7 linked regions of the Cricetulus griseus genome follow. The protein of the gene in region 2 purifies or fractionates together with the protein of the main gene of each other region. This does not show direct contact. Links are inferred from orthologs where the notes say so. Each region holds a gene or a part of one and is shown on either strand. Other genes may lie near its edges. The genes, in order: Plk1, Smc1a, Usp13, Wapl, Pds5b, Cdca5 and Sf3b3.

Region 1 (4,719 bases), on a different chromosome or scaffold from region 2:
GTGTACCTGGAGGCACAAGGAAGGATTTTGCTCAAATTCCCAGAAAAGTCCAAATGCAGAAGTCATTGTCTAGAGGAAGGGAGCTGGGCTGGATTCACTGACTCAGAACGGATGAGGCTGATCTCCAAGTCTGCTCAGTCTCATAGAAGCCAATGGCTGGGATAAGCCCTCAGAAGAATGCAGGTGACAACACTGAATACCAAGCGCTAGAGATTCCCCAGCTCTGGCCTGCAGTAATAGAGGACTCCTCAAGAACCGCAGAGGCCACTGCTATCTGCCACAGGCACAAGCACCATGATGGAGCTTCTGCCTACCATGAACCTTTCTGCTGATCTGATTCTCCCATCAGCACTCATCAGTGTTTCCAAAGCTTTACTGAAAGTCAGCCAGGGATTTTATTAGACCCAGGTCCAGAACTGAGATTTCCACATCCTAACAAACCCTCAGAGGTATTGATGGTTTGGGTTAGTGCATGCTTTTAGTAAGCAGCAAGGAGCTGGAGGAAGAAGTGTAGACACATTTGGTCCCTTCCCTGGACCATAAGTCCAAGCTACAGGAATGCTATAGATTGATAAATAAGGAAAAGGGGCTTCATGTGGGATCCAGAGGGAAAGGTCAACTGGATGAAATGCCTCAGAAAATCCTGTTGAGACCCAATAGCTCCTGAGTCCATTCCCAACTTACATGATACACCCAATGGACCACACATCCACCTCAAAACTGTGTCCCTTCTTGCTCAGCACCTCGGGAGCTATGTAGTTAGGAGTGCCACATAAGGTCTTCTTTCGTTCACCTTCATATTCCACTTTGGTTGCCAGCCCAAAGTCCCCTGGGACAGAGGGAAGAAGAGAGGTGATTAGCTGCTAGGCCATCTTGTGGCTGCAGACAACTGCCTCAGGACTGACCATAGAGAGCCAGTGCCTCAAGACTCCAGTCTCTGTTCCCGAACCTTCCCACTGCCCTTTACACTCCTCTTTAGATAGCAGGGCTAGGGAAGTAAGATGGCTCAGTAGGTACAGGTGCTTGCCGCTAAGACTAACAACTTGAGTTGACCCTGGAACCCACAATGGAAGAACAGAACTGACTCCAGAAAGTTACCTTCTATCTCGAACCCCACATATATGAAATTTAAAATACATAGGATAGCAGAATTGGATGCACTAGGGAATCAAGTAAATATTCTTTGTGACTGTGACAAGTTTAAGAAAAGTGACAGGAGTATAGGGACTGAGGCAAATCAGAGTCTCAAGGGAAAAGGTGCTTTTCAGCTCAGTAAAGGGACAGCAAAACACTGGCCTGTGGGACACTTACTTTCCATTTCTGGACAAGAAGGCTTTCTGGAGGGCAGCACCTCCATTTCCCACCCACCTTCCACTTCTCTGGCTCCCATTCTCCCAGAGTTCCCCTCCTTGCCACCTCTTGTACTGGCACCAGACACCCGCAGGCCCAGCACCTCACCTATTTTCACCTCCAGATCCTCGTTCAGGAAGAGGTTGCCTAGCTTGAGGTCCCTGTGAATGACCTGATTTCGGTGCAGATACTGGCAGCCCAGGACTATCTGACGTAGATAGTAGCGTGCCTCGGGCTCGGTCAGCGCTTTCCTCCTCTTGTGCAGTTCCAGGAGAGACTGAGGAAGAGGGAAGAAGGTAGTTAAGCCCAAGGAAAAGGGTGGCCAGCTGGATGTGGCCAAGATTAAACCCTCGGGAGTAAAGTATAGACGGAAGTTTCCTATCCCGACCAGCCGATTCCAAATAACTACTCTGAGGCTTATATTAATTATAAATGCTCGGCCTATAGTACAGGCTTAGCTAACTCTTCCACTTATTAACCCATAATTCTTATGTCTTGGCAGGCTCCTAATGGTTCTGTCCATACACTGGTCAGGCCATTATCATTCACAGGACCCCTCTCCTGTTAACGAGTACCCTTACCCAGCGTCTTCTCTCAACCCCTTATTTAGGGGCTTCCTCCCAGCAGGAGACCCTCTCCTTTTCCTGAAAGCTGAGGTCTGACTCCAGACAGCCTCTCCTCCCTCCCCCACTCCAGACCCTGCCCCACTCCACTCCGGAAGTTCTAGGTCCGCGGCAGCCGTAGCTTGGGACCCTTGTTAATCACTTTAAACACCCATTTCCTGCACCTACTGGCAGTCTTGCGTGCAGGAGCCACCTTCCCTAATAATAGCAACAGGTCCCGGGTTCCGCTTGCCCTCAACCCCCGGCCTCAGCAGCTCGGAATGCCAAACACCCTCACCAGGAGCCCCTTCATAATTGCTTGAAACCCAAGCACTCCTCTAGGCCACTCCAAGGCGTCGATGCCTCTTTGCCAGCAAGTTCCCGGTGTGGTCGCCCCAACACCACAGCAGAAACACTCACCCTCCTGCGACAGAGCTCCAAAACCACAAACACAAAGTCGCTGTCCTCAAAAAAGCCGTGGAAGCCTACGACGTGTTGGTGTGCGAGGCTGCGGTGGATAGAAATCTCCATAGACATCTTTTCCTTTTGGTGGGGCTTGAGAAGTAAAGACTTCGGCACGATCTTGCCTGCGAACACCTCCTTTGTGTCTGCATCCGAGATCTCGAAGCATTTGGCAAATCCTCCTTTACCCAGAAAGCGGCCCCGCACATACTGGCGCCGGCTGCGTGGGTCCACTAAGACCTCAGGAATCTCTTTCGACAGCGGGGCGGTCACTGGGGCACCGGTAGCTGCATCTCCAGGAACCCCAGCTTTCCCGAGATCGGCTGGTGCTCGAGCCAGCTTTTTGGCCGCTGCATTCATGCTCCTAAATTTGCTACGCGAACCTGGCCGGGCCGGTGCAGAGATCTTGCCCTGCTCCGCTCCTCCCCGAATTCAAACGCAGCGCTGGGAACGTTACAAGGACCTGCGCGTTGTTGATTGGCCGCGGGGATTTAAAATACAAACCCGCCCAGCGCGCGGCACCATGGGAGTGCTCTACGGCGCAGCCGCTTTTAAACCCCCGATCTTGTGAGGAGAAACTTGATGGGCTGGGACTTAAGGATTAAATGCACGTGGGATACCCTGGGAAACTAGGAGCGGATGGAATACGCGGAAATACCCAGGGGACAGAATTCGGTCCGGCTTTCTGCTCCTCGGCCAGAGAATGCTCCTGTGGTTCATGCCCCTCCTCCAGAGGCTTCTCCAGTTAGGACCTAACTAACACCTTCCTCCACTCCTCCTGGCCTTCTAGATCTGAAACTCCAGGCCTAGAGGTAGCTTGGCAGTGCACCGCCTTCGCCCTCGACTGCCGTCTCCCTGGCTAGTCTATATAAACCCAAACCTGAACAAACCCAGCATGTCTGGCAGGCAAAAGGAAGCTCTGTGGCAACCACTCCCGGAGCCCGAATTGAAAGGAGCTCTAGACTTCTCCAGTAAAACCCAGGGGTCAGCAGTATCTGCAACACCCAGGAACTCCTTAAGAAGGAGCGTGGGTTCAAGATTGCAAGTTAGCCTAAGGCCAGCCTCAGCTACCAGGCAACATTCCTTCCCCCCTACCCTCGAAGGAAAGAAACCGCCCAGGTCTGACCTGCAGGTCAAACAAGACTGTCAGGTGATTCCTACACAAGGTGATCCTAGAACTCGGGAGGCAGAGGCAGGCAGATCTCTGTGAGTTTGAGATCAGCCTAGTCTACAAGAGATAGTTCCAGGACAGTCTCCAAAGCCACAGAGAAACCCTGTCTCGAAAAACCCAAAAAAGAAAAGAAAAAAAGAAAAGCATCAGCTCTCTCCCCCCTCTCGCTGCGTTTGAATTCGGGGAGGAGAGGAGCAGAGCAAGATCTCTGCACCGGCCCGGCCAGGTTCGCGGAGCAAATTTAGGAGCATGAATGCAAGGTTACCTGGCTTGTCCTAAGTTGCTCCAAATAGAGAAAACTAGTTTTTTTAGTCAGAGGGAGGGATGGCTGGTTGGAGAGTGCTAGCAAAGTAGCAGGGCCAAATCTGCCCAGCAGGGGTGTTTGTTGGCCTTCATTTAAAAAAAAAAAAAAAAAAATTTACAACACTTAAAAGGAATGGCCACACAGTGCAGGTGAGTGACTTTCCTAAAAAAGTCAACTCTGGCCGCCGTTCTCCAGGCACTCCCTTTGCCTACTTGCCCGTCTGACTTCTGTGGAAACTCTGAACACACCAGGTAGGTGCTTGGCACTGAGTCAACTGCTTTTGCCACCCTGGACATGGGGACAAAGGCATATAAGATGGACTTTGCACCCAGATAACAGCTGGCTTTTGATGCAGCTCAGCCAATTTTCTGGTGTGCAGCACTAGGCAAATTTACTCAACTTCTCTGATAATTAGTTTCCTCCTCTGTAAAATGGGTTGTGAAAATCCCTACTTTATTGACAATTGAGAGGATTAAATATTTTCTGCTGAGTGTCTGCCATTCCACAGGTGCAAAATATGAATGATTCCCCCATCATCTCTTTTGTGGCAGTCTGATTATAAAGATTAAGATCTGCTTGATCTTATTTTAAGTCTAAAATTGTCAGAATGCTGTGCTTTTTTAACTCCAGGGGTTCTACTCATGGTCTTTCACTTTCTAAAGATAGTTCTGGCTCCTGTTTATGGGGTGCACACTGAGAGCCAGTGCTTTCCATGTGTGAAGGAACTAAAATTCTCAAAAGCACCCTGCCCACCTTCTTGCTGTTCCAAGGGGTCAGATAACAAGAAGTTGACATGCCCACCTTCAGCACCCATGTTTCATGACTACTGC
Region 2 (4,494 bases):
TTGAACTTATTTTTTTGAAACAGGATCTCTCTTGGCCTAGAAGCTCACTAACTGAGCTATAATAGCTGGCCAGCAAGTCCCAGGTATCCTCCAGTCTCCACCTCTCCAGTTCTGGATTATGAGTATATACCACCACACACAGCTTGCTTGCTTGCTTTTTTTTTTTGTTTTTGTAGACCAGGCTGGTCTTGAACTCACAGAGATCCACCTGCCTCTGCCTCCTAGGTGCTGGGATTAAAGGCATGTGCCGCCACCACCACCTGGCTCACACCCAGCTTTCTAAGTGGGTACTGAGAATTCAAACTCAGGTCCTCATACTTGTGTGGCAAGCAGTTTACAGACTGGGCCATCTCCACAGCCTTCTCTTTCATCTGACAGCATCCTGAACTCTTTTTAATACTTGTTAAAATACCAAGGCAGAATCAGCTATTTTCTTAAAAATACTACATCACATGATTCATGCAACTTTGTGATTCATGTTCACATTAATTACCCAATTTAGCTTATCCAAAAGTCTTAGGAAATAGGCATTTCCTCTACTTTAAAGAGGAAGAAACCTAGTCATTCCTCAAGTTAAACTGTCAGTGAGTTCTTTACTTCAACTGACAGGGTGATAAAAACAGTCTCCCTACAACATCCAGCTCCAAGATCCTTGCTCATTTGTCCTTCATTCTGTTACTGTTTGTTAAACACCTTAAAAACATAAACCTTGTGAGGCTGGGGATGTGACCCTGCTGAGTGTGTGCCTATCTAGCATGTACAAGGCCTTCAGATCAAACCCAAACACTGTATTACACCAGGTGGAAGTGAACACCTGTAATTCCAGCACTCTGGAGATGGAGGCAGGAAGATAAGAAGGCCATCCTTGAAGTAAGTAAGAATTTAAGACCAGTCTGAAATGAGATCCTATCTCAACAAATGAACAATAAAAAACCAAGATCAACCTGGCGTTCAACAATCAGCAGATCCGCAGGGTGGTGGTACACACCTTCAATCCCAGCACTTAGAAGGCACAAACAAGTGGATCTCTGTGAGTTCGAGGCCAGCCTGGTCTACAGATCAGTTCCAGGACAGCCAGGGCTGTTACACAGAGAAACCGTGCCATGGGTGGATGGAAGGACAGATGTATTGTTATACAGTCTAGATTCAACCACACTTCCAGTTACAGCAGAACTAGCACATAAGTTGGAATTCATCTTTCAAGTATCAATTTCCAACCTTTGAGCTTCTTCCTTGATTTTTTCAAGGATAACACCTTACAACTACAAGCCTTTTTACTCAATTCTTCAGTGTTGTAAACATTTTTTCTAATGTGCTTCGTGAACACTAACAAAGTCTCACTAACAAAACATCTCAAGAAATGGCTTCTTGAGGACACTCATACACTAGTGATGAAGATACAGACACAGGTACTATAAATTTGTGACAGAAAATAGTCTATGCTGGCACATGCCTTTGACCCCAGCACTCAGGAGGCAGAGGCAGGTGGATCTCTGTGAGTCCAAGGCCAGCCTGATCTATCTACACAGTGAGTTCCAGGACAGGCTCCAAAGCTACACAGAGAAACCATGCCTCAAAACACCAAAAAGAAAGGGAGGAGGAAGGGGAAGGAAGGAAGGGAGGGAGGGAGGGAGGGAGGGAAATTTCCGTCTGTGTGCCAGAGAGAAAGAGCAATTTATAAAGTGGGAACCAAGGGTTCAAGGGATGCTTCACAGAGCCAAACTTTGAAAGATATGCAGAAGGAAGATGTGGTAGAATATACTCACTTGGGGAGGGGAAATTTGAAACCATAAGGAAATTTGAAATTTGAAACCATAAGATATGGTCTCAAAAAAAAAAAATAATAGAGAGGGTAAGGACTCGGGCCAAGGGCCTTTTAAAAACAGCTGGATTGCCAGGCATTGGTGGCGCATGCCTTTAATCCTAGCACTCGGAGGCAGAGGCAGGTGGATCTCTGTGAGTTCAAGGCCAGCCTGGTCTCCAGAGCGAGTGCCAGGATAGGCTCCAAAGCTACACAGAGAAACCCTGTCTCGGGGAAAAAAAAAAAAAAAAGATGTTGCGATAGCAGGCTTAAGTCTGGAAAAGTAGGCTTACCTACTACCAAAGTCAATTTAAGCTATCAACTTTAACCCCTTTTTTTCAGAGCATTTAAAACGGCCTGAATATTATATTTTGTACTTTAACTTCTTTCTCCTCTAAATAAGTTTCCTGGGATCACGGACTTGACTTATTTTCCGCATAAACTTAACCGATAAAACCGGAAGCACTCAACAAATTTGGCAAACAAACAAGTTCAGGCTCATTAGGGCTTCCTGGTAGGAAAGCGGCAAATCAAGGCAACATCTCTTAGGTGTGTAGGGGCGAGAAACGGAATCCCACTCTGCTGGGAGAAGTGTTGTGTCTAAAATCCCAAAAGTGTCACAGCTGCACACAGGGAAAAACGAGCGTTCCAGTGAGAGTCGCGTTTGCGGAGTGGGGCTGGCTAAAGCAGAAAGTATACTATTTGGGACCGAATGCCAAGGCAGAGACAACATTCCCAAAATTTCCCAAATGTGTCGAACTTGAGACCAGGAACCTGGTACAACGCAGAGCAGAAAGGAGCCACAGGCCAAACAACTGTCAGCAAGTTCCAGGAAAGCGTGTTTTGGCGGGAGGGGTTGTGGGCGAGGCAACCCATAGTCCCGCCCATACCATTCTGCCCAGAGAGGGGGTTTGCACAAGACTCGGCCACCTGACATTTGGGAAGGGGCTCGAGTTAAGCATATGGCAGAAGCGGGAGAGAGTTCGAGTCGAATCCCCCCTCAAGGAGAGCAAGGAACATATTAGGGTTCAAGCGTCTCAGGTTGCACGGGGTAGGTTGTACTATTCTGGAGATGGACAGGGGGACCGGATCGCGACGCCAGCAGGGCCGCAGCCGGATTTATCATCTCACCAGAGCCATTGGGTCCAATGATGGCGGTGAACCTCTGAAATGGTCCGATAATCTGTCGACCCTTGTACGATTTAAAGTTCTCGATCTCAATCAGCTTCAAGAACCCCATGGCAGCGGCGCTACCGTAGGCGAGGCCGCAGATTACTCCTGGGAACCGAGGTTAGCCCGCGCGGGAAATACCGCGGTGCAAGCCGGGTGTACGGTAAACCTCGCGATAATAAGTACAAGCCAATGAGGATTTCCGGGGCCAGAGGCCAGTCACTTCCGGCTCGTGCGTGGGTGTTTTGACCCCGCCCCCCTTTGTCGTTGCTCTGCAACAGTCAAAGCGGTAACGGACTGAACTGGGGAAGCTTTAGTCCCCAGAAGGACTACTATCGCTTTGGGAGAGAATCAGAAGGCAGGCGGGGCCTGAGCCCACGCTTGCTGAGACAGAAGTCACAGCAAGGTTATGCCCTCCCCGTTGCTAAGGACTAGTAGGAGGCGGTGGTTTGTAGTCTGGGCTGTCTAGGGCTCCAGTCGGAAATTAGAAGGCACCCTGGGAGGGGTGGGCAGTTTGGACTAGAAGGGCGGATCTTAGGGAGGACTTGAGTGAGGTAAGATTGGAGTGTGAAGGAGGATGAGGACACTCCTAGACTCCTTGACAACGGAAATAGAAGTTGGGGAAAGTTGTGTTCTGAGATACTGCCCTTATCGCCTGCTTCTCTCTTATTTCCCAAAGCGGAATTCAAAGGCTGCCATGTAAATCCTAGAGCCAACTTGGACCCAATCCACTTACGAGCTTGAAAATTAGAATTCTGTACTGAGAAAGGTGTCTTGTGTGAACACCAGGGGTCCAAGTCCTTAAGCCAGTGCTCCAGTTTGTCCTTTTCCCCTTTCTCCTTACTACGTGTTTCTCCCCAATCCCATTCCGCCTGCATCATATGTCTATGGCACTGTACCTTCATCCCCATCTTTCTCTTCACTCTCATCTCCTTTGTCTACCTCCCTCATTGGCTTCTCCGTTCCCCTCCTCTCTCTCTCTCTCTCTCTTTTTTCGAGACAGGGTTTCTCTGTGGCTTTGGAGGCTGTCCTGGAACTAGCTCTTATAGACCAGGCTGGTCTCAAAAGAACTCACAGAGATCCGCCTGCCTCTGCCTCCCGAATGCTGGGATTAAAGGCGTGCGCCACCAACGCCCGGCCCTCCTCTCTCTTCTTAATACCCTGCCCTTATCCATTCATTGCTCATTTCCAGCCTTCATCCTTTCATCCACCTTCTATTATCTTATGCCTGCTCATTACTAAGTGATGCTCTTAGCAACCCTGAGGCTTCCCTTTAGTGGCCTTATAGTATGGCAACAGTTTGAATTTATAGGCTAGTGCCATTTTCAGAAGGTGGTCTCCACAGCTATTCCTGTAACTTTTTTTTCCAGACAGGGTTTCTCTGTGTAGCTCTAGCTGCCCTGGAACTCACTCTGTAGACCAAGCAGACCTCCGAACTCAAGAGATCCATCTGTCTCTGCCTCCTGAGTACTAGAATCAGAGGCATGTGCCACTACCACCCAGATTTGTAACTATTTAATGAT
Region 3 (3,928 bases), on a different chromosome or scaffold from region 2:
ACCTCATCAAAATTGAAAAACTGTCTACTTGAAAGACATCATCAAAGAAGTGAAGACATAGAACAGAAAAATATCTCTGCAAATTATGTGTCTGACAACACTTAGGAGGCAGAGGCAGGTGGATCTCTGTGAATTTGAGGCCACCTTGGTCTACAGAGCGAGTGACAGGATAGGCTCCAAAGCTACACAGAGAAACCTGTCTTGAAAAACCAAAAAAGAAAAAAAAAATGTGTCTGAGAGGAAACCTGTATCTAAAATTTAAAAAGAACTCTTAGAACTTAACAATAAAAGGCAAAGAACTAATTATACCCACAGTGTTATTAGTCAGTAGGGAAATACCTCTTGAAATCACAGTGACCACCATGGTACACCCAGAAGCCACTATAACAAAACTGCTAATGGTGAGAATTCAGAGAAATTGAATCCTTCATTCATCATGGGTAAGAGTATGAAATGGTTCAGCCACTGGGTAAAATTGACAATTTTTAAAAAGTTAAATATAGAACTACATCAATTCTGCTCAAGAGAAACAAAATCATAAATCTATATATGCACAAAAGTTTATGTTTACAGCCCCATTAATAAACACCAAAGAGCAGAAAAAACCCAAATGACTGTCATCCTCTGATAAAAGGGCAGACTGTGGTATGGCTATACATGGAACACTACATGGCCATAAAAGGGAAGTGCTGTTCATGCTACAGCATAAGACCCCTAAATACATTATGAAAAGCGGTAGAAACCTGACACAAAAGGCCTCATGTTGTACAATTCCATTCATATGAATTATCAAAAATAGGCAAATTCATAACAATTGTAGGGTACCCAGAAAGTAGATTAGTGAAGATTAAGCACTGGAGAGAGTAAGAACATGGGAGAGGCAGTGTCTTAATTAGGGTTTCTATTGCTATGAAGAGACACCATGACCTCAGCAACTCTTATAAAGAGAACATTTAATTGGGGTGGCTTGCTTATAGTTCCAGGGATTCGGTCCATTATCATCATGGTGGAACATGGAGGCAATCAGGCAGACACAGTACCAGAACTGAAAGTGCTGTATCTTACAGGCAACAGAAGTAGACTGAGCCACTGGGCAGCTTCCTGAGCATAGGAAACCTCAGAGCCCACCCAGATAGTGACATACTTCCACCAACAAAGCCACACCTTCTAATAGTGCCACTCCCTATGAGATTATGGGGGCCAATTACAATCAAACCACCAAGATACCTCCTATCTAGCATTTCTTTTGTTATACAAAAATATTCTAGAATTAGACAGTTGCTTAATTGTAAAGTGACTAAAATCCATGTGAATGTACACTTCTGATAGGTGGATATATAAATGACATCTTCAGAAAGTAGACAAAAGAAGAAGCTGAGGAAAGGGCCTCCATTTCTTCAGTTTTCTATTTCAAGCTTAAAATAAACACCACATCTTTCTAATGATCTTTTGGTCAACGAAGTGTGGACACCTTTAAGGAGGAAGTTATTCCAAGAAAGCTGTTGTTTAAGAGATTAAGATTGTGACTTTGCCCAAACAGTAGCATGTTACCATCTGAAAACTCATCTTTGGGGACACATCCTTGGGGACATGAACTCCAAAGTACTCCCATATGGCCACCTACCAGGTTCCTCCATGTGCACGATAATCCAGTTGAAGGCCACCTCAGCTCCAGTGTTTCCAGTGAAGTACACAGCCTTCCGGCAGGCTTCCAAAGGAAAGCCCATCTCAGCCAGCTGCATCACGGAGGATTCATCAATGTCTGAGGCTACAGAGCACAGCAGGATATCCCACCATGAAAAACAGAATTTTCCACTTCCTCCTGTCTTCATTACTCTTCAACCCCTTATCTAATCTACAGACTACCTGAAGACAGATCCATTTTGTTGGGTCTTAATTTGACTTCTTTTTATGTCATCTAACTATTGAGCTATTCATGAGAAAAAAAATGGTATTATTACCTCAGTTTACAAATGAGGTAATTGAGGCCTATAGAATAAGAAACAAATTGTTCCAGGCCACACAGTCCTAAGCAGCAAAACCCCACAGGACTGCAAGCTTTCAAGCCTACACTAATCCTCCTGAGCAATAAGGGATACTTAAGCAGCATTTCATTGGTCTACATTTGTTGCTTACTCAACTTACAGACAGTTCCACCCAGGAACAACCACATATATCCAGGACAGAACAATGCTACTTTGCTGAACTACTACTTAAAAAAAAAAAAAAAAGTTACACTATGAGCTGAAGAGATGGCTCAGAAGTTAAGAGCACTTACTACTCTTCCAGAGGCCCCAGGTTTTTTCTGTTCCTAGCACTCATATGGTGGCTCACAACCCTCTCTAACCCTAGTTTCAGGGAATCTGACACCCTTTTCTGGCCTCTGTGGGCATCAGGCATTCACATGGTACACAGACATGCACACAGGCAAGACACCCATATGTATAAATAAAAATGAACAAATCTTTAAAACATATCATACTAGCAACAACTGTAAGACACCAAAAAACACTTTTAAAGATACCTACGGTCTATCAACTGGTTCATCAGGCGATCTGGAAATGAAAGAACAGATGATAAATAAGAGCTAGCCACCACCAATAGTTTTAGAAAAAAGAAACTGCATCAGTCCAGGATATTCCCAGACCCTCTCACTCCTGGTTACCCCACACACACTACCTGCAAAACAGTTCATTAATTACAGTAATGAGGGGAAACAGCAGATTTTGGGCAAATAAAACAAGAAGTTTTGACATCTCAGTGAGATAAATAATTTCAATCCTTGCATTTATTTCCAAGAGCAAGGTTTCTGGCCTGGACATGATTTATAGGGGAAGTATGAAAAGCCATCCTGGCTTCCCTACTGCTCACCACTACCTGTCTGTAAGCCCTTTCAGGAGCCTCTGCCACCAGGGCCCAAATCAATGACTCATAGTGTATGAGTCTGAAGTATACAGTTGCAGCCATGCTTCATTCCTATGTGTCTAGGTCAAAGACAGGGAGCAGTTTAATGGTGAAACAGTAACTCCTCCTGGCTGGAAGAGGGTGGTAAGGAAAGAGTATCCTTCCAGTAGGAAATGGTACCTTTTGAGTCATCAGGAATGACTATAGGGGGACTGATGTCTGGAAGCTCCTCTTCTCCTGGCTGTAAGCCCCTGGCTCTAAGATGGCTGATATCTAGTAGGTCTGGCATATCAATAGAAACATCTGCAAAACAAAAGATTATATTCACTGGACTCTCTAGAGCCCAAATCAGCTCATTATAAATCTGCATGTGTTCACTGCATGCATGTATCTTGGCAGCCTAAGGGACACAGAGCACAGCAGATTTGTCAAGCCACATGAAAGTTAATGGAGGGCTCAGGGAAAGGGCAGAGAGTGGTGGGACAAAGGCATCACACTGGACAGCAATAGGTCAGATAAGCCAGTGTTCACAGACTAGCAACCAGGCTATCTGTGGTCTGGACTCATTCCATTTTGTGTTTCTTAAAATATGGACATGATTTAAATTTAAAATTTAGACTTCTGGATTTCAAAAACCATGAAGCTGCAGCACATTCTCCCATGTAAACAGTCTGGGTTTCCCTTTAACTTCTATTTTGGACAATGGTGGCCTCTGTGACCATTTCACACTGACCCCACAGCTCTGGACTGTCCCAAACATGCACATCATGCATATGGGAGAGGATGTCTTTCTGAACTATGTTATTACACACAATGGAGCCCACCATGAGAGGAGGCTGTGTAGGCCTCTACCCGGCAGCTCTTCTTTCCTGCCTTTTGCTTCCCTATCCTTGTTGCACATTTGGGTTTGAAAACTCCTACCTAATACTTTTTTCAAATTGTGGCAGATACTGTAATGATTGTAAGTTATGAATTATAAAGCTCAAAAGAACTTGACTGAATCTTAAGTGTCTATCCCTGGACG
Region 4 (3,928 bases), on a different chromosome or scaffold from region 2:
AGATGTGTGTGCCTGTATGTGGGTATGTGCATGTGAATACAAGTACCCTCTGAGGCCAGAGGCAGTAAGTCCCCTAGAGCTGGAATTAGAGTTGTAAGCTGTCTGACCTGGGTGCTGAAAACAACTCCGATCCTTTGGGAGAGCAGCAAATTCTCCCAACCACTGAGACATTTCTCTAGCCATAGTTTGCTATAATATTAGTAGAAGCATCTATTTAGAACCCATCTATTGCCTCAGAGGTATAAAACTTTCATGTAAATTTTTAGGTCTTAAATTATGAAAGACTGGGAGTCTCGAAGCTTTAAATCAGTGACTAGCCTTTAAGGTTTTTGGTTTCAGATTGGATTCCAAACCAGGGCCTCACACATAATAAGGTCTGCCACTGAAATATACAGCCTTAGGCCAGTGTAGGCATTTGGTCTTTGGACCTTTGGGTGTGGCTTCAGGCGAACCTAAGCAGAAAGAGAGGAGCCTGAGGTGTGGCTTTTCATTGCTTGCTCCTTCTGTTGGGTCAGTGGATCAGTAGGAAGAGCAGAGAAACGCTCTGGTGGTTCTTTGTATTTTTCTGTGTAATTGTCCCCAATAAACACCCATTTTTCATTTTTCTTGGGTCTAGTGATATAATTACATCCTTGCCTTCAGGCCAGCACCTGTGAATTTATATGAGAATTTTAAACTGTTGGGACAGAGATACCAAATATCTTGTTTTAGCTTTGAAAATCCAAATGCAATGGAGACATAAGGATTTTGGATAATTAGAACTGTACTGATAAGAGATGGTTTTATGAGGGAAATACTCAAATTAATTAAACCCTTTGTAAGTAGCACAAAACTAAAAAAGAAAAAAAATTTTTTTTTTTTTTTGAAACATTCTCAAACCCTCTTAAATTGTAGTCTCATAAGATCAAAAGGTATGCTGGGCAGGTGGATCTCTGAGTTTTAGGCCAGCCTGGTCTACAGAGTAAGTTTCAGGACAGCAGAGCTACACAGAAAAATCCTGTCTGGGAAAAACAAAAACAAAATAGATTGTAAAGTACTGGGTAAGAATTCTCTTTTAATAATGAAAATTTGTCTCTTAAGACTGTAGGCTCAATGATAAGATTCTCTTAGGAGTTGAATCTCTCTCTCTCTCTCTCTCTCTCTCTCTCTCTCTATATATATATATATATATATATATATATATATATATAGGTAGCTTTGCTATAATTAAAGCTTTACTTGAAAAGGGTGATGTGTAGAGGATTCACTTATGTGAGGAAGAATTTGTGAAATAAAAGGTCTTTTCAACCAAATACAGCTTTGCTATATTGGTTTAATTGTTTAAAAAATTTTTTGTCCTGCTAAAGTTGTAGACATTTGTAATTGTGGTGAATTAGAATTTCCATAGTATTTGTGAATTTAGATTCCCAAATAGAGTATATCATACTTGACACTACCTGCTACTTAGCATTTTTGGGTCTAAAAGTAGTTTGCATGGTTTTGGGGGTGATTTGTACAGGGGAAACATGCTCTATGACTGAGTTACACTCTCAGCCCAGATAAGATTCATCCTTGGTTTTAACTGGAATTAAAGCAGGAACTTCTAGAGCCTCTTCAGTTCCCTAAGAAAGTATAGTTAACATTTATCTAGTGTTATCATCAGCCTCTTCTGGAAGATTGCAGTTTGCAGCAGCCTCACTAGACACTTGAGATCTGGTCATAATGCTGTGCAGTACCTACACTCTTGTCCTGCTGCAGTTTATTTGACTTTTAGGCTCAATTTGTATAGTAAGTTATTCTTCTCATCTGCAATTTAAAATCTGTTACATGTTGTAATAATAGGACTTCAATTCTGAAATGTGAAAAATAGACTAACTTTGAGAAATGAAGTTTACATGAACATTTCTGCAAGTTCCCAGGCAGGTATGTGTAGGCATACATGTAGGCAAAACACTCATATACATAATATTCATCTAAAATTTTTTAAGAAATGATTATCTTTATAGAAGCCAGCAGCCTCTTACAGTTTGAACAGTGTCTTTGACTTTTGAGAGCCACACCAAATTACTTATCTTGCATCAAAGCATTCTATATCCCCACCCAGCACAAATGCATTCAGTGAGTACTGGAAGCATGCAGTGTTGACACCAGACCACCTGGGTTTGGAGTCTAGCTCTGCTACATCAGCTCTGCTTAGCTGGCTTCCAACAAGTATTCTTTTAAGTTAACATGATTTCATGAACTTAAAATCTAGAAATAGCCGGGCGTTGGTGGCGCACGCCTTTAATCCCAGTACTCGGGAGGCAGAGGCAGGCAGATCTCTGTGAGTTTGAGGCTAGCCTGGTCTCTAGAGCGAGTGCCAGGATAGGCTCCAAAGCTACACAGAGAAACCCTGTCTCGAAAAACAATAACAACAAAAAAAATCTAGAAATATGTGAAACTTAGGTATCATTTGATATTTATGAGTTTGATATAAATTATATATCTAGCACTCATATGTATCTGGTAGTTACATGATCTATGAAGTTCAAATTTTATTTTGGAAAAAATTTAAAGCCAGACATAGTGATGCATGACTGTAATTTCAGTATTTGGGCAGCTGAAGCAGAGGGATTGCCATGAGTTTGAGCCAATTAGGGATATTTAGTGAATTCCAGGCCACTATGGGCGCTAGCTACAAAGAGCCATTCTCAGTAAAAGAGAAAATATTTGTTTTTGTTTTGTTTTATGTTAACACAAAATAAAACTAGAACACATGTTTAACAGCCAGGTTTTGAAGTAGAAGGTGAGGATTAGAGTAGCTTTTCAGCTGTTGCTGCTTTTAATCTTTCATTCATTTCTCACCCTAACCCCAATATTATGTTTAAAAAATGGCCTTAAGTTTTCTGATAACTTGAAATACTGGAAAGCTAGCTAGTTTTGATTACCGTTTCAGAAAACTTGGATTTTACAGAGGACTTGCCTGGTGTGCCTGAGAGTGTGAAGAAGCCCATAAATAAACAAGGCGATAAATCCAAGGAAAATACCAGAAAGATTTTTAGTGGCCCCAAACGGGTAAGTAAAGCACTATTATTTATTTATCATTAGAGGACTCATGTCTTATTTAGGGTTTCTAATGCTGTGAAGAGACACATGACAACATTTAATTGGGGCTAGCTTGCAGTTCAGAGGTTCAGTTCATTATCATCATGGTGGGTCATGGCGGCGCACAGGCAGAAAATGGTGCTGGAAAGGAAGCTGAGAGTTCCACATCTTGCACAGGAAACAGGAAGTGATCTGAGACACTGCGTCGTTTGAACACGTATGAGACCTCAAAGCCCATCCCCACAGTGACAGATGAATGGACGAGCATGCGTGTGTGTGTGTGTGTGTGTGTATGAGAGAGAGAGAGAGAGAGAGAGAGAGAGAGAGAGAGAGAGAGAGAGAGAGAGAGAATACTATTAAGCTGTAAAGAAAAATTAATAAAAATTAGCAGGAAAATGGACTTAGATTAGAATATGTGATATTAGATGAGTCCATACAATCTCAAAAAAAGTGTTCTTACATTTGAAGTCTAGCCATTAAAAAATATATGTACACACATATATACATACATATGTATATAAATAAATGTACATGTGAGCACAGTATAACATGTAGGAAAGAGAACAAGTATTGCTAAATGTTAGGGAATGACGAAGGACTGAATTTCTAAGCTATTCTGTAAAGAAGAGAAGTTCAGTGAGTTAATCTTTGGGCCTATGTTAGGTGTTTGATTTTTTTTTTTTTAATTTGCAATGTTTTGTATAATAAAGTGGTAAAATTTAATTAAAAAGAAATTCCATATTAGATACATAGTTTGCAAGTATTTTCCCAGTTCTTCGTGTTGCCCCCCCTCCTTGCCAATTTTTGATTTTGTTTTTTGGTTTTTTCGAGACAGGGTTTCTCTGTGGCTTTTAGAGGCTGTCCT
Region 5 (3,928 bases), on a different chromosome or scaffold from region 2:
AAATCAGGCAGTTGTAATTCCAGCATATACAAGGGGAGGCATCAGAGGCTACATACTGAGTTCAAAGCCAGAATGGGTAACATGGGACTGTTTCAAAAATAATAGCCCCAGGTGGTGGTGGTATTCTTGGTATTTCTTTTGTCTGGATTGTTTTCTGGGAAACCTCATACTTTTACTTATATTCATCTACTCTTTTAAATATATTTACCCTTTATTTTCTTGTTGGTATAGTCTGAGTTTGTGCCGCTCATGTGTTGAAACCTTTATATCCCAATGAGAGAGGAGGCCTTTGGGGGATAATCTGATGGAGGTGAGTAAAGAAGATAGAATCCCCACTTCCTTGTAGGAACTTAATTTCTAACATTACAGACTCTTTGCCCACCCTAGGAAAAAGTGTCTAGGGGCTGCAGCAGCAGTACACTGGCCACAGATAAACACACCTGCGTCTTGTTGGGCTGGTGCCAGTTATACTGTCCCCTTTTAATGTCCACTAATTTTTCCACATTAGAAAAAAATCACCGAAGTTTTACTACATATTCAGCTAGGAGAAAACTATCACCATTTCAACTTTTTTTTTTTTTTTCTCACAGAAGAACACATAAGTCTCTTGGTTTTGAGCTCTCCCACACAAGTGCCAACTACTCTGTTTAAGGGTCTGTCTGAGACTGTATACCCACCCTATCTTTCAGTACGACAGAAGTTACTGTGATGAACAGGACCCATCTGAAGTGTAGTAAAATGCAGAGTGATGCTAGTACTGTGCACGAACACATATACATGGGCATGTTTCCCTTCTTTCTGTATCTTCCTTTCGAGTGCTGGGGAATCAAACTTGGGGCGTTGTATAGGACAGCTGAGCATAAACCACACCCCTGGCCCTTGGTTGTTTGTGTGTGTGTGTTTGACATGGGCAAGTGTGCCTGTGACAGCCTCCTTGTGGCATTCAGGGTGGCCTGGAGCTTACTATAAAGCCAAGATTGGCCTCAAATTTCAAACACTCTTGTTTCTGCTACCAAAAAAAAAAAAAAAGAAATCATGAACTAGTCAATTACTCCATTTTTAAGCATGATTACAATAAAGATTTTCTTGATTAACTAGGACAGAAATAAAAAAATATAAATATTTTTACTAACTTAAAAAAATGATCTTCTAGAAACCTTGCAATAAGACTCCTTTCTTTTATAGATCCTACATTTCTCTAACTTTTAGTTTTTAATTCTACTTGGGTAAAACTTTTAAAAGTGTGTAAGAGTGTTTTGCCTGCACGAATATCTGGTGCCTGTGGAGGTCAGAAGAGGACTTTGGATGCCCTGGTACTAGAGTTAAAGACAGTGCTGAGAGTCAAACTTGGTACCTCTGAAAGAACAGCCAACTACTGTTAACTGCTAAGCCAGCCCGCTGGGTCAAACTTTTAACACTAGTTGACAGTATAGCTAATAAGGATTTAGCAAAAATTTTAATTATAAAACAATTGGCTAGATAAATTGAAGAAACTTGAAAATAATGGAAATATGTCAGTGGGAGACAAAAAGGGCAAATAAAATTCCAAAGAAAGCAAAAAAAATTATTTTATTAATAACTCCTGCCTCTGCTTCTGAATTAGAGTCAGACATACTTGTTATATGGTAACTATTGCTCAACGGCATAAATCATTTTAACAATGAGACAGCATCAACAATTTATTTGGGCTAATTCATTTATTCAATTAATGAATAATAATTCATTATTATTATTAGGCTGAAAGCATAAACTATCCAGTTTATAGACAAGAAAACAGACTCAGAAAGCTCAGTCAGCTACTCCAGAAATGTTCACAGCTCAACTGGGGAGTCCACATGGCCCAGTTACCAAATCTGCTGGGCTGGATTGGAGTATGAATTCCGTTTCTCATTGAAATATCACCAAATCTGTCTGTCTTCGAGTAACATTTACAAATTATAGTCACTTCTACTAATATATTAAAACTTAACAAGGGCTTTTCTAAAAGAAGAAGGTAGACTTTGGGACCTACATTCCACTCTTTTCCTAAGGCCATGACTAAAATACTGGGTTTAAAAAGAAAAAGGAAAGCAAATAGTTCTGAATATGGAACTAACATGTTTGACTCTAAAGACAAAGAATTAGATTATTTTATTTATCTGAAGACAAGAATCACATAAACTCCAACTAAACTATAATATCAAATTTGAAACTAAAGTCACAAAAAGTATATCACATGCCACATTTGACTGCGATTTTAATATCTAGCTAAAGAGCAAAAATGACTAAAACTATTACTATTAACAGCATCACACAGTCAACCAAGCATCTCACCCTTACAAGATCAGAGTCGTCTCTCTTGTCACTTTTTTTGCCTGGCAAAGGTGAAGACATTGTGTAATCTTCATTTTCACTGTGATCCATTTCAGAGCTATCAAGCCTTTGAACAGAGATATCTGCAATTACTTCTACAATCAAATAACCTGAAAAGCCTTTTTTGATTGCTTCATTGCATAGCATTATAACTTCATAAGCAAGGACTTCATTCATTTTAAAGATAATTTTTCCTATCATATTTAGCACCAAATCAGTAAGCAATGTAGCTCATTTAATAAATTAAGGAAATAAATAATAAATTCATTTTACCACATGATGTTTTGAAAACTAGATTCCATTTTGAAGCAGAAGCATGGAAAGTAAAACCTGTTGTTAGTATGTTCAGCTTAGCACATGCAGCTTAGCCCTGGCCTGCCCTTCCTTGCCCTCGTCTTTACTTCTCTCTGTAGCAATAGCATGCAAAGTAATTACATGTCTTACTTGACTTCTTCTTCCCCTTAACACCATAAGCACTGATTTTTGACCATTTCACTTAGTGTGTAAACTTGTGCAGAGCTCAAAGGAGGCACTTAAGAGACTTGCTGAATGAAGTAAAACACATGCTCTCGTAAGCTTAGAAAGTTCTAGTCTTCTGCATCATCCTTTGCTTATCCCAGTACTCAGGAGGCGTAGGCAGGTGGATCTCTGTGAGTTCAAGGCCAGCCTGGCCTACAGAGTGAGTTCCAGGACACGCTCCAAAGCTACACAGCGAAACCCTGTCTCAAAACAAACCTATTTGTTTACAAACTGCTGAACTCAAATCTCAAGCTCTAATAAGAAGGTACAACTTTACAAAAAAAAAAAAAAAAAAATCCTTGTTAAAACTACTTTTTAAACAAACAACAAAGTTTATACATAGATAGTAAAACTTCAAACATAAAATACACACCCCATGTCAAGTTATTATGAGCATTATTAAGATGCTCTATGTTTTCTCAAAAAGTTCCTAATGAATGCAAATGAATGTGATTAGGAAGTCATTCCAAAGTAAAGGCCCTGCAACACTGCTCTATGACCTCTATCAGAGTGCAAATTTAATGGGACAGGGTTTCTCTGTATTGCTTTGGAGGTTGTCCAACCTCCAAACCCTAACCCTAACAAAACACTTTTCATTTACTGTGCATATGCATTCAAGCACTGCAACACGTGTGGAGAACAGAGGACACCCCAAGGAAGTTGGTTCTCCCCTTCTACCAGGTTAGTCCCAGGGACCAAACTCAGATTATCAGTCCTGATAGAAAGTGCCTTTACACACTGAGCCAATACTCTGGCCCCTGAATTTTAAGTGTATTCGTGATTTGCCTGCATGTATGTCTATAGATTACATGTATGCAGCACCTGCAGAGGCCAGAAAAGGGTGTCAGATCCCCCCAAAACTGGTGTTACAGATGGCTGTGAGCAGCTATGGGATGCTGGGAACCAAACCTGGGTCAAATGGAAGAGTGGCCAGTGCTCTTATCTGCTCAGCCACCCCTCCAGCCCCTGATCTCATTATTTTTAATGATTCAGATATTGCAGTGTATGAATGAACCATAAGTGAACAACTAACTGTATAAGTGGTAAACACGAGGTC
Region 6 (3,453 bases), on a different chromosome or scaffold from region 2:
ATGCACTACAACCACTCACCTTGTTCTGCCTTGCTTTTTTTTTTTTTTTTTTTTTATTTATGTATATAACATTCTGCCTCCATGTATATCTGCACACCAGCAGAGGGCACCAGATCTCATAACGGATGGTTGTGAGCTACCATGTGGTTGCTGGGAATTGAACTCAGGACCTCTGGAAGAGCAGTCAGTGCTCTCTTAGCTATCTCTCCAGTCCCAAAAGAACCTTTTTTTTTTTGGTTTTTTGAGACGGTTTCTCTGTGTCTTTGGAGGCTGTCCTGGAACTAGCTCTTGTGGACCAGGCTGGTCTTGAACTCACAGAGATCTGCCTGCCTCTGCCTCCCGAGTACTGGGATCATAGGCGTTGGCCACCACCGCCCAGCTTGTTCTGCTTTTTAACCCACCCCCACCCAAGTTTTCCTCATGTTTTCAGTGCCACAGTGAAAGTGCTGAGGTGCCAGTGTTTTGTTTTGTTTTAAGTTTTCCCTGATATATTCCCGGTGCCCAGAACATTCCCTGGTGTGGGACAGGTCACTAATAGATATTTATTGGTCAAATGAACATCTTATAAAAATCTTTAGAAGCTATATGGCAGATGACCCTGGAAGCAGGCAAAACAATTAGGAGGCTGTCAAGCCAGTTTAGGTATGCTGGAACTTTATGTCAAGTAGCAAATTGTTGCTATATGCCAGGTACATTTGAGGGTGGCAGCAAATGTAGTGAATCTTGTCCTAAGTCAGCTTCTCCAAAACAGTAGTGATTATCTCTTTTTTTCTTTCCAACAGTGGAGGTAGAACCCAGGGCTTATGCATTTCTGGGCATGTGCTCTATGACTGTTTGTTGCTTAAAATCTGTCCTGGACTGGGGATGGAACTCCTCAGCACAGTGTTTGTCTAGCATGCACAAGGTCAACCATAAAATACACAAGAAACGTAGAAATCCTGTGCTTTGTGGGCAGTCTTTCCATCCTGAATCCCCGAGCTGACAAGAGTTCTCTCGCCTGTCCTGATACAGATCTCTTTTATCTTGGAAAAAGAAAACAACCCTCCTCTCAAGGTACCCACAAAGGAGGACCTCTTCAAGACCTGTAGTGTCCCTGGTACCCCCACCAGCACCCCAGTGCTGTATACTCAGAATGTTGAGTCTAACTCTGAGGAAAGAGAACTGGACACCAGAGACTTGGAAATGTCCCAGAAAGTCAGGCGATCATACAGTCGGCTTGAGAGGCTCAATGCTGCCTCAACCTCCACCCCTGGCCGCCGATCCTTCTTTGGCTTTGAGGGACTTGAAGACTTGCCCCAAGTCTCACCTGTCGTGAGTTCAAAGTTAATTGAGATCCCCAAAGTATCTTCGAAGCCCTTGATTCCAGACACAACGCTTCCTGGAATCTCTCCTCCAGTCATGAAAGAGAAGCGAAGGAAGAAGGTGCCGGAGATCCTAGTGAGTAAGGGGCGGGGTCTCTCCCACAGATGCACCGTATTGGTTGGGGGGAGGGGGGCAGGACTCCAGGTTTTGAGGGAAGGCAATTCCTGAGGTGTGGATAAGTAACATTCTCTGGGCAATGTGGCCGCTTCCCCACTCAAATGCCCTCATTTCTTTCTACCAGAAATCGGAGCTGGATGAGTGGGCTAAGGCCATGAATGCTGAGTTTGAAGCTGCTGAACAGTTTGATCTTCTGATTGAATGAGATAAAGTGGGGGTACACCTGGCTAGGCTCTCCCCTCTCCCTGTACATATTGACTTTTGAGTAGAGCAGGACTTGTTACCCAGAAAGGTGTAGCTGGCCCCTTGTTATATTGTGGCTAGTTACCCTGGACTTTCTTCACAGTATTGGGGATGAGAAGCTAATTCTGTTACAATCCTGCACTGTCAGAAACAAGTTCATCGTGGGTTATCTCTCTGGTGTTGCCCTCTGTTGGTGGCTTGGAGTCCTAGAGTCTGATAGGGAGCTCACAGGCTAGAGACAGTTAAACTCTTGAGGAAATCTGAATATGGAGTCTGGGATGTGAAAGAAGGAGGTAGTCATAGTTTTTTTTGTTTGTTTTTTTAACACGAGTGACTGTTAAGTAGGAGCTGTTCATGTCTGTGTTCTGCTGTTGACACATTGGTGAATGAGGTACTGATGTCTAGGGCAAAGTAAGTATACTTCATGGTATGGGCTCCAGATGCCACCAACTTGAGATTTGTGGTCTCTGGTCACCCTTTCCTCACCCACATCTGTTTCTTTCAAAATGAACTGCACAGTCTTGGCTCTGGGATGTGGCTTTTTTCTCAGGAGCCATACAGCTGTAGCACTGATGACAGCTTTTGCTGTGAGCTTGACTATTACACTTTCACACGAGACCATTCCCGGGGGTGGGGGTTGCTGGGAACAAAAGTAGATGTCTCATGGTCTCTGCGGAAGTGCTTCCTGCCTACCATCTCCTCTGGATGATAGTAGAAGATATGGTTTCAAAGGGCATTGGACTTCCAACATATGCAGGTTCATTGGAGAAGAAGCTGCATGGAATGAGAGTTGCAAGCAAGCACCTGTACACCAGGATGGTTTTGAGCGGAGCACATCTGAAGAATTTGTCCTCACTGGTCCCTGTGGACCGTGAGCTGGACCTTCTGATTGCTGCCATCACTACAGACCCGTCTGTCTTTGAGGAACTAATGTACAGCCCAGGGGAAAGGTTTGATGTCAAATAAACTTTTAAAGAGTTTTGTTTATAGACTGCTTTTTATTTGGTCAAAGACAGAGCCACTGGTGTGAAGCCCTGGATGCCATGTCATTGGACTGTGTCACCAGGGCTGTTCCTCTTAAAATTTGCCAACCTGGCCTCCCTCCAATGACTGATGCCTTGTGCCTCCAAACTAGGGTTTCCTGAAATGAAGGCCCAAGCCCCCCTGTCCCAGGGGAGGTTTATGGAATTGACTACACTTCATCCCTCTCCCTCTTTTCCTAAGGCTCCATCCATCATAGGAGCCAGTGGCTCAGGTATAATAGCTGTTCCTAGATGCCACCCAGCAGCTGATGCCTTGTGCCTCCAAACTAGGGTTTCCTAGTTTGGGCACCCCTGAGAAGCAGATCAAAGATGTGATTCCTTGGCCTGTTGTGCAGATGTGAGCGTCCCAGCTCATCCTCTGCTGAAATTTAGGCTTTTAAATTTCCTCCAGAGCCCTTCCTGAACCTAGAATATCATCTCAGCTCAACTGGCCAACAAGACCCAGATCTGCCTATCTCACCCTTTCCCTGGTTCTAGGCAGATAATATTGCCACATTGGCTTTTATGTTTGTGCTAGAGACCTGAACTCAGATCTCTATGCTTGCATAGCAAGCACTTTACCCACTGAGTCATCTCCTTTGCCCACACCATCCTGTTACATTCTTGCAGTGTATCTGTGTTATTGTAATTTAAAAGATATTGGCCACCTGTGCTACTTTTAATTCCAGCTCTCTAGGAAGGCAGAAAC
Region 7 (3,928 bases), on a different chromosome or scaffold from region 2:
TCCTTGGCCACACCCACCAGCACATACCAGTCTTCACCAGTGTTCGAGAACCTACACACTGCCACACTACAAATAGACAAAGAAGGAAAAGCCATGTATTAGTCAAAATCCCAAGAACCCTTGATCACACTACCAAACCTTAGACTGACCTCATATCCTTACCTAAAGGCTGCCTCATTTTGTTCCAGTTGGACAAGATCTAGTGTATTCCCCTGGATAGGGTTCATCACCCGAATCACAGAGGCCCACTGACCATTGCCAGCCTTTGGAGCTCCAAAAATAGATTCAGGGAGGTTTTCATTAAGGAATGCTGCTGCCATTTCTGCAGCCAACTCCCGCTCATCCTCTCCTGCTGCTTCCACCATTTCCTAAATCCAGAAAGCAAGAAGAGGTAAAAAAGGAAAAGCAGTAAAAAAAAGTCTATCACCTAAGACCAGGATCCCCCAAACAGAGGTTCAACTCCACCAGCAGAGGCACTGTTGGCCTACAATCTGAGTTAGATCCTCAGCTTCTACAAAAGGTGCAGAACACCATATTCATGTCTGCATTCAACCACTCAAACACACAATTAAAAAAGTCAAGGAAAAATGCACAAATAAGGAGATCATTAAATGGGAAAATCAAATACCAGTAGTTACATCTGAGCAGAAAATGCCAAAAAGAACATTAACTGTGGCAAATTATCTGCATTTCTGAAAACTCAGAAATGCCTTCCTGCTTTCCCTAGCCAAACCAGTTATCTCCTCTCTTTCCAACTGGATATGGTTTCCACACAGCTGGTTATTTAATAGTTTCTAGACGAGGTGGTGCTGTAGAGGAAATAACGACATCTGTGCTCAAATTCAGGCATCATATAACACAGCATCTTCTGGAGGCTTAAGAGCTAGAGAGCAGTTCCACACTGGGAGCTAAATTCTGAGTAACCCAGGATAGCATATTTGTCCTCGGTCACAGAAAGTTCCCAAAAGCAAATAAAATAGTAAAAAACTTCCCTTAAAGGTCCTGGTTTATGGTTTTCGCTTTAGGGTCCCCCAAAACTTTATCTCTTATTTTGTAGCCCTAGGAATTCCCTGCACCCACATGTCAGATCACATCTGTCTGTAACTCAGTTCCAGAGAATCTGACACCCTCAAACCAATGCACACAAAATAATTAAAAAATAAACAACAAATATTGCAGATGTGTTTGCTAGTGCACAAATAATGCCAGCACTTGAGAAGTTGGGGAGAAGGATCACCCAGAGTTCCAAGTGAGCCAGAGTTATGGTCTGAGACCCTATCTCCAGACAGGGAGGGAGGGAGGAAGGGAGGGAGGGTGTGCGTGTGTGCGCAAGACAATTAGAGATGTTTAAAATTTCAACTTTCCTAAACCATTTCATAGGCAGGCTTTTTTAAAACTGCACCTTTGGAGGACAGAGTAATTACCTCTGCCATCTGCTGCTTTCTCTGAGCTTTTGTAGCCTCAGTGTAGGCATTGTGGTCTGTCTCAATGATGATAAGATTGTTACTCTCAGGGTGAATGACAAATTTCCTGGGTGTGTACTGCAATGGAAAGGCTACTTGATTGAAGACAGCACCAAGTTTCTCCAATGCCAAAATCCTATAGGAATAGACAAGGGAGTTAAATAAGTTACCACCCAGCCTAAGAACTGATGAGATGAACCATGACCAGCCACAGCAAACAACTGTTGAGGCTCTAACAATGACATTAGACAGCATGAGATAAAAGCTCTGTGCTTAAAAGACTTCATGACAACGAAGAAAAAAGAAAATACCAAAATACACTTGGCAAAGGTAGGCTGATCTCTGAGTTTGCGGCCAGCTTGTCTACAGAACTAGTTCCATAACAGCTGAGGCTACACAGAGAAACCCTGTCTGGAAAATCCAACAAATTAATTAATTAAGATTTAATTCTGTTAAGAGATTTAACACTTGCTCTAAAACCAATCCAGTAACACGACCATTTCACCAGGAAACAGAAAGACTATAGTGTAATAAGTTTTAAAACTTGGCTCCAAAAAGTCTAAACAGAAGCTAAATGCCAAGCATTGAAACTTGGCTCACAGGTTCTGAAATCCTGTTTCAAGTGCAACACCCTTTCCTGGAAAAGAGGCAGCTGTCAGCCATCATTGTATAAACTCCAACTCTGGCAGAACCACAGGCAGAATGCTTGGCAGAAAGGCTTCCTGCTGGGCTCCAAACATGTTTTCTCACCTCAAGGTGTTGGTGGAGATGGCAACAATGCCTTCAGGACACTGTTCAGAGGCGAAGCCAGATGCAAACTCCAGAGTCTCATAAGATAGAGGGGTGAGATGGAAACGGGATTGGTAAGAGTAGCTTAACCACGAGCGACTGGACATGGCCAAAACCTGGAGAGGAAAGAGCCCTAATCAGAGTGGGAAAAGCTCAAACATTGTATATTGACCAAACATATAACCCCAACAGCAGACTCTAATTTTAGAAACCTACAAAGCCAGCAAAGGGAGCCCAAAGAAGAGAGAGCACAAGGCTTATTGTATAGAAAAATCAAAAACATCAAACTATATCAATCATAATTCTCTGGAGTATAAATGAGAGATTTTAGGCTGGATGTTGGTGGTGCATGCCTTTAATCCCAGCACTCGGGAGGCAGAGGCAGGTGGATCTCTGTGAGTTTGAGGCCAGCCTGGTCTCCAGAGCGAGGGCCAGGATAGGTTCCAAAGCTATACAGAGAAACCTTGTCACGAAAAAACCAAAAGAGAGAGAGAGAGAGAGAGAGATTCTATTACAAGGCTGGACAGTTGTAGAATTAAATAGGGTAACTACAAAGACAAGGCTCTTTCTTATTAGGCAGGAGAGTCACAATTTGACTATAATCCTGCCTTGAATGGAAGGAGTCCAGTTTTTCCCATCCCTGATAGCCCAGACTAAAGAAAAGACTCAAAGGTTCAATACTGAAACCTCCAATAGCCTCATAAAGTCACAGTGCCATGTCATGGAATACCCCTTAGAAAACTCTAGATTAAGTCAGGCAGTGGCGATGTATGCCTTTAGTTCCAACAGTGGGGAAGCAGAGGCAGGCAGATCTCTGTGAGTTCAAGGCCATCCTGGTCTATAAGATCTAGTTCCAGGACAGCCAGGACTACACAAAGAAATCGTCTGAAACCCCCCAAAGAACCCAGGATTTCCCAATCAAGACAGAGATAATATCAAAACATCTACAAATGAATTAGTCAAAAAGTTTATTGGCACCAATATCCAAATGTCTTTTTATTACTTACAGCCTCCTGGCCTTGCATCCGGACTCGGAAGAGTTTCACAGGACGGGACCCCAGATACCTAGTTCGAGTGTCAGACAGGTCCCCAGTGACAGGGTCTAGAACAGTTCTCAGCAGCACACCATTCTAATCAAAAAGATATGAACAGGTAAAGCCTACTTATGATGGAAACTTTTCAATTATGAGATTTTTCCTTGGCTACTTTAACAGACAATTGAAGGATGTAACTTATTGGTAAAAGTATAACTACCTTATTGGTAAAAATATAACACAAATCATATAACACCCCAATAATCAACAGTTCATTCATTCTCTCAGTTACTAAGCATCTAAGTAAAAACTACTTCTCACTATACATACATGTATATGCATCCTGTATATCAAAATTTGTGTTTGTTAAATTATTTTCATAATTTAAAAACAGACCCACAGCTAAAAATCAATATTTACTGACTATGGTATCTCTAAGTATCATTTCCACAAAAAGGAACAAGGTTTTTAGGGATGACAGATTCAAGGATGAAGCAAGAATGTTTATGATGCAAACAGAATCCACCAGTGCAAGAAGGCAGCAATATAGTGGAGTCAAATAGACTAACTTCAAGGGGAATCTCTATCAGCTAAAGGATGACTGTTATGGCCCTAACTCCTTATCTGTAAAATTAGTGACTA

What was found.
Region 1: the proteins of Smc1a (region 2) and Plk1 purify together in Homo sapiens (affinity purification with mass spectrometry; 3 studies listed by BioGRID and IntAct, with this or other methods). This does not show direct contact. The link is inferred for Cricetulus griseus from reciprocal best matches to the Homo sapiens genes SMC1A and PLK1.
Region 3: the proteins of Smc1a (region 2) and Usp13 purify together in Homo sapiens (affinity purification with mass spectrometry; 5 studies listed by BioGRID and IntAct, with this or other methods). This does not show direct contact. The link is inferred for Cricetulus griseus from reciprocal best matches to the Homo sapiens genes SMC1A and USP13.
Region 4: the proteins of Smc1a (region 2) and Wapl purify together in Homo sapiens (affinity purification with mass spectrometry; 7 studies listed by BioGRID and IntAct, with this or other methods). This does not show direct contact. The link is inferred for Cricetulus griseus from reciprocal best matches to the Homo sapiens genes SMC1A and WAPL.
Region 5: the proteins of Smc1a (region 2) and Pds5b purify together in Homo sapiens (affinity purification with western blotting; 8 studies listed by BioGRID and IntAct, with this or other methods). This does not show direct contact. The link is inferred for Cricetulus griseus from reciprocal best matches to the Homo sapiens genes SMC1A and PDS5B.
Region 6: the proteins of Smc1a (region 2) and Cdca5 purify together in Homo sapiens (affinity purification with mass spectrometry; 7 studies listed by BioGRID and IntAct, counting the BioPlex papers as one, with this or other methods). This does not show direct contact. The link is inferred for Cricetulus griseus from reciprocal best matches to the Homo sapiens genes SMC1A and CDCA5.
Region 7: the proteins of Smc1a (region 2) and Sf3b3 fractionate together in Homo sapiens (co-fractionation; 3 studies listed by BioGRID, with this or other methods). This does not show direct contact. The link is inferred for Cricetulus griseus from reciprocal best matches to the Homo sapiens genes SMC1A and SF3B3.

What each region holds. Positions count from the first base shown.
Region 1 is NC_048596.1:78,505,884-78,510,602, forward strand, and holds the start of Plk1 (serine/threonine-protein kinase PLK1), read right to left. Parts: upstream 2,865-4,719; 5' UTR 2,775-2,864; coding exon 2,373-2,774; intron 1,628-2,372; coding exon 1,459-1,627; intron 830-1,458; coding exon 685-829; intron 7-684; coding exon 1-6. UniProt on the Homo sapiens protein: Serine/threonine-protein kinase that performs several important functions throughout M phase of the cell cycle, including the regulation of centrosome maturation and spindle assembly, the removal of cohesins from chromosome arms, the inactivation of anaphase-promoting complex/cyclosome (APC/C) inhibitors, and the regulation of mitotic exit and cytokinesis.
Region 2 is NC_048604.1:107,483,353-107,487,846, forward strand, and holds the start of Smc1a (structural maintenance of chromosomes protein 1A), read right to left. Parts: upstream 3,042-4,494; coding exon 2,933-3,041; intron 2,853-2,932; exon of another isoform or gene 2,709-2,852; intron 1-2,708. UniProt on the Homo sapiens protein: Involved in chromosome cohesion during cell cycle and in DNA repair. Central component of cohesin complex. The cohesin complex is required for the cohesion of sister chromatids after DNA replication.
Region 3 is NW_023276806.1:116,475,435-116,479,362, forward strand, and holds part of Usp13 (ubiquitin carboxyl-terminal hydrolase 13), read right to left. Parts: intron 3,208-3,928; coding exon 3,085-3,207; intron 2,556-3,084; coding exon 2,529-2,555; intron 1,769-2,528; coding exon 1,625-1,768; intron 1-1,624. UniProt on the Homo sapiens protein: Deubiquitinase that mediates deubiquitination of target proteins such as BECN1, MITF, SKP2 and USP10 and is involved in various processes such as autophagy, endoplasmic reticulum-associated degradation (ERAD), cell cycle progression or DNA damage response.
Region 4 is NW_023276807.1:184,662,245-184,666,172, reverse strand, and holds part of Wapl (wings apart-like protein homolog), read left to right. Parts: intron 1-2,914; coding exon 2,915-3,033; intron 3,034-3,928. UniProt on the Homo sapiens protein: Regulator of sister chromatid cohesion in mitosis which negatively regulates cohesin association with chromatin. Involved in both sister chromatid cohesion during interphase and sister-chromatid resolution during early stages of mitosis.
Region 5 is NC_048597.1:86,593,067-86,596,994, reverse strand, and holds part of Pds5b (sister chromatid cohesion protein PDS5 homolog B), read right to left. Parts: intron 2,420-3,928; coding exon 2,314-2,419; intron 1-2,313. UniProt on the Homo sapiens protein: Regulator of sister chromatid cohesion in mitosis which may stabilize cohesin complex association with chromatin. May couple sister chromatid cohesion during mitosis to DNA replication.
Region 6 is NC_048596.1:53,258,467-53,261,919, reverse strand, and holds the end of Cdca5 (sororin), read left to right. Parts: intron 1-1,011; coding exon 1,012-1,437; intron 1,438-1,603; coding exon 1,604-1,684; 3' UTR 1,685-2,479; coding exon of another isoform or gene 2,480-2,509; 3' UTR 2,510-2,709; downstream 2,710-3,453. UniProt on the Homo sapiens protein: Regulator of sister chromatid cohesion in mitosis stabilizing cohesin complex association with chromatin. May antagonize the action of WAPL which stimulates cohesin dissociation from chromatin.
Region 7 is NC_048596.1:187,212,034-187,215,961, forward strand, and holds part of Sf3b3 (splicing factor 3B subunit 3), read right to left. Parts: intron 3,383-3,928; coding exon 3,260-3,382; intron 2,369-3,259; coding exon 2,214-2,368; intron 1,600-2,213; coding exon 1,425-1,599; intron 369-1,424; coding exon 163-368; intron 67-162; coding exon 1-66. UniProt on the Homo sapiens protein: Component of the 17S U2 SnRNP complex of the spliceosome, a large ribonucleoprotein complex that removes introns from transcribed pre-mRNAs.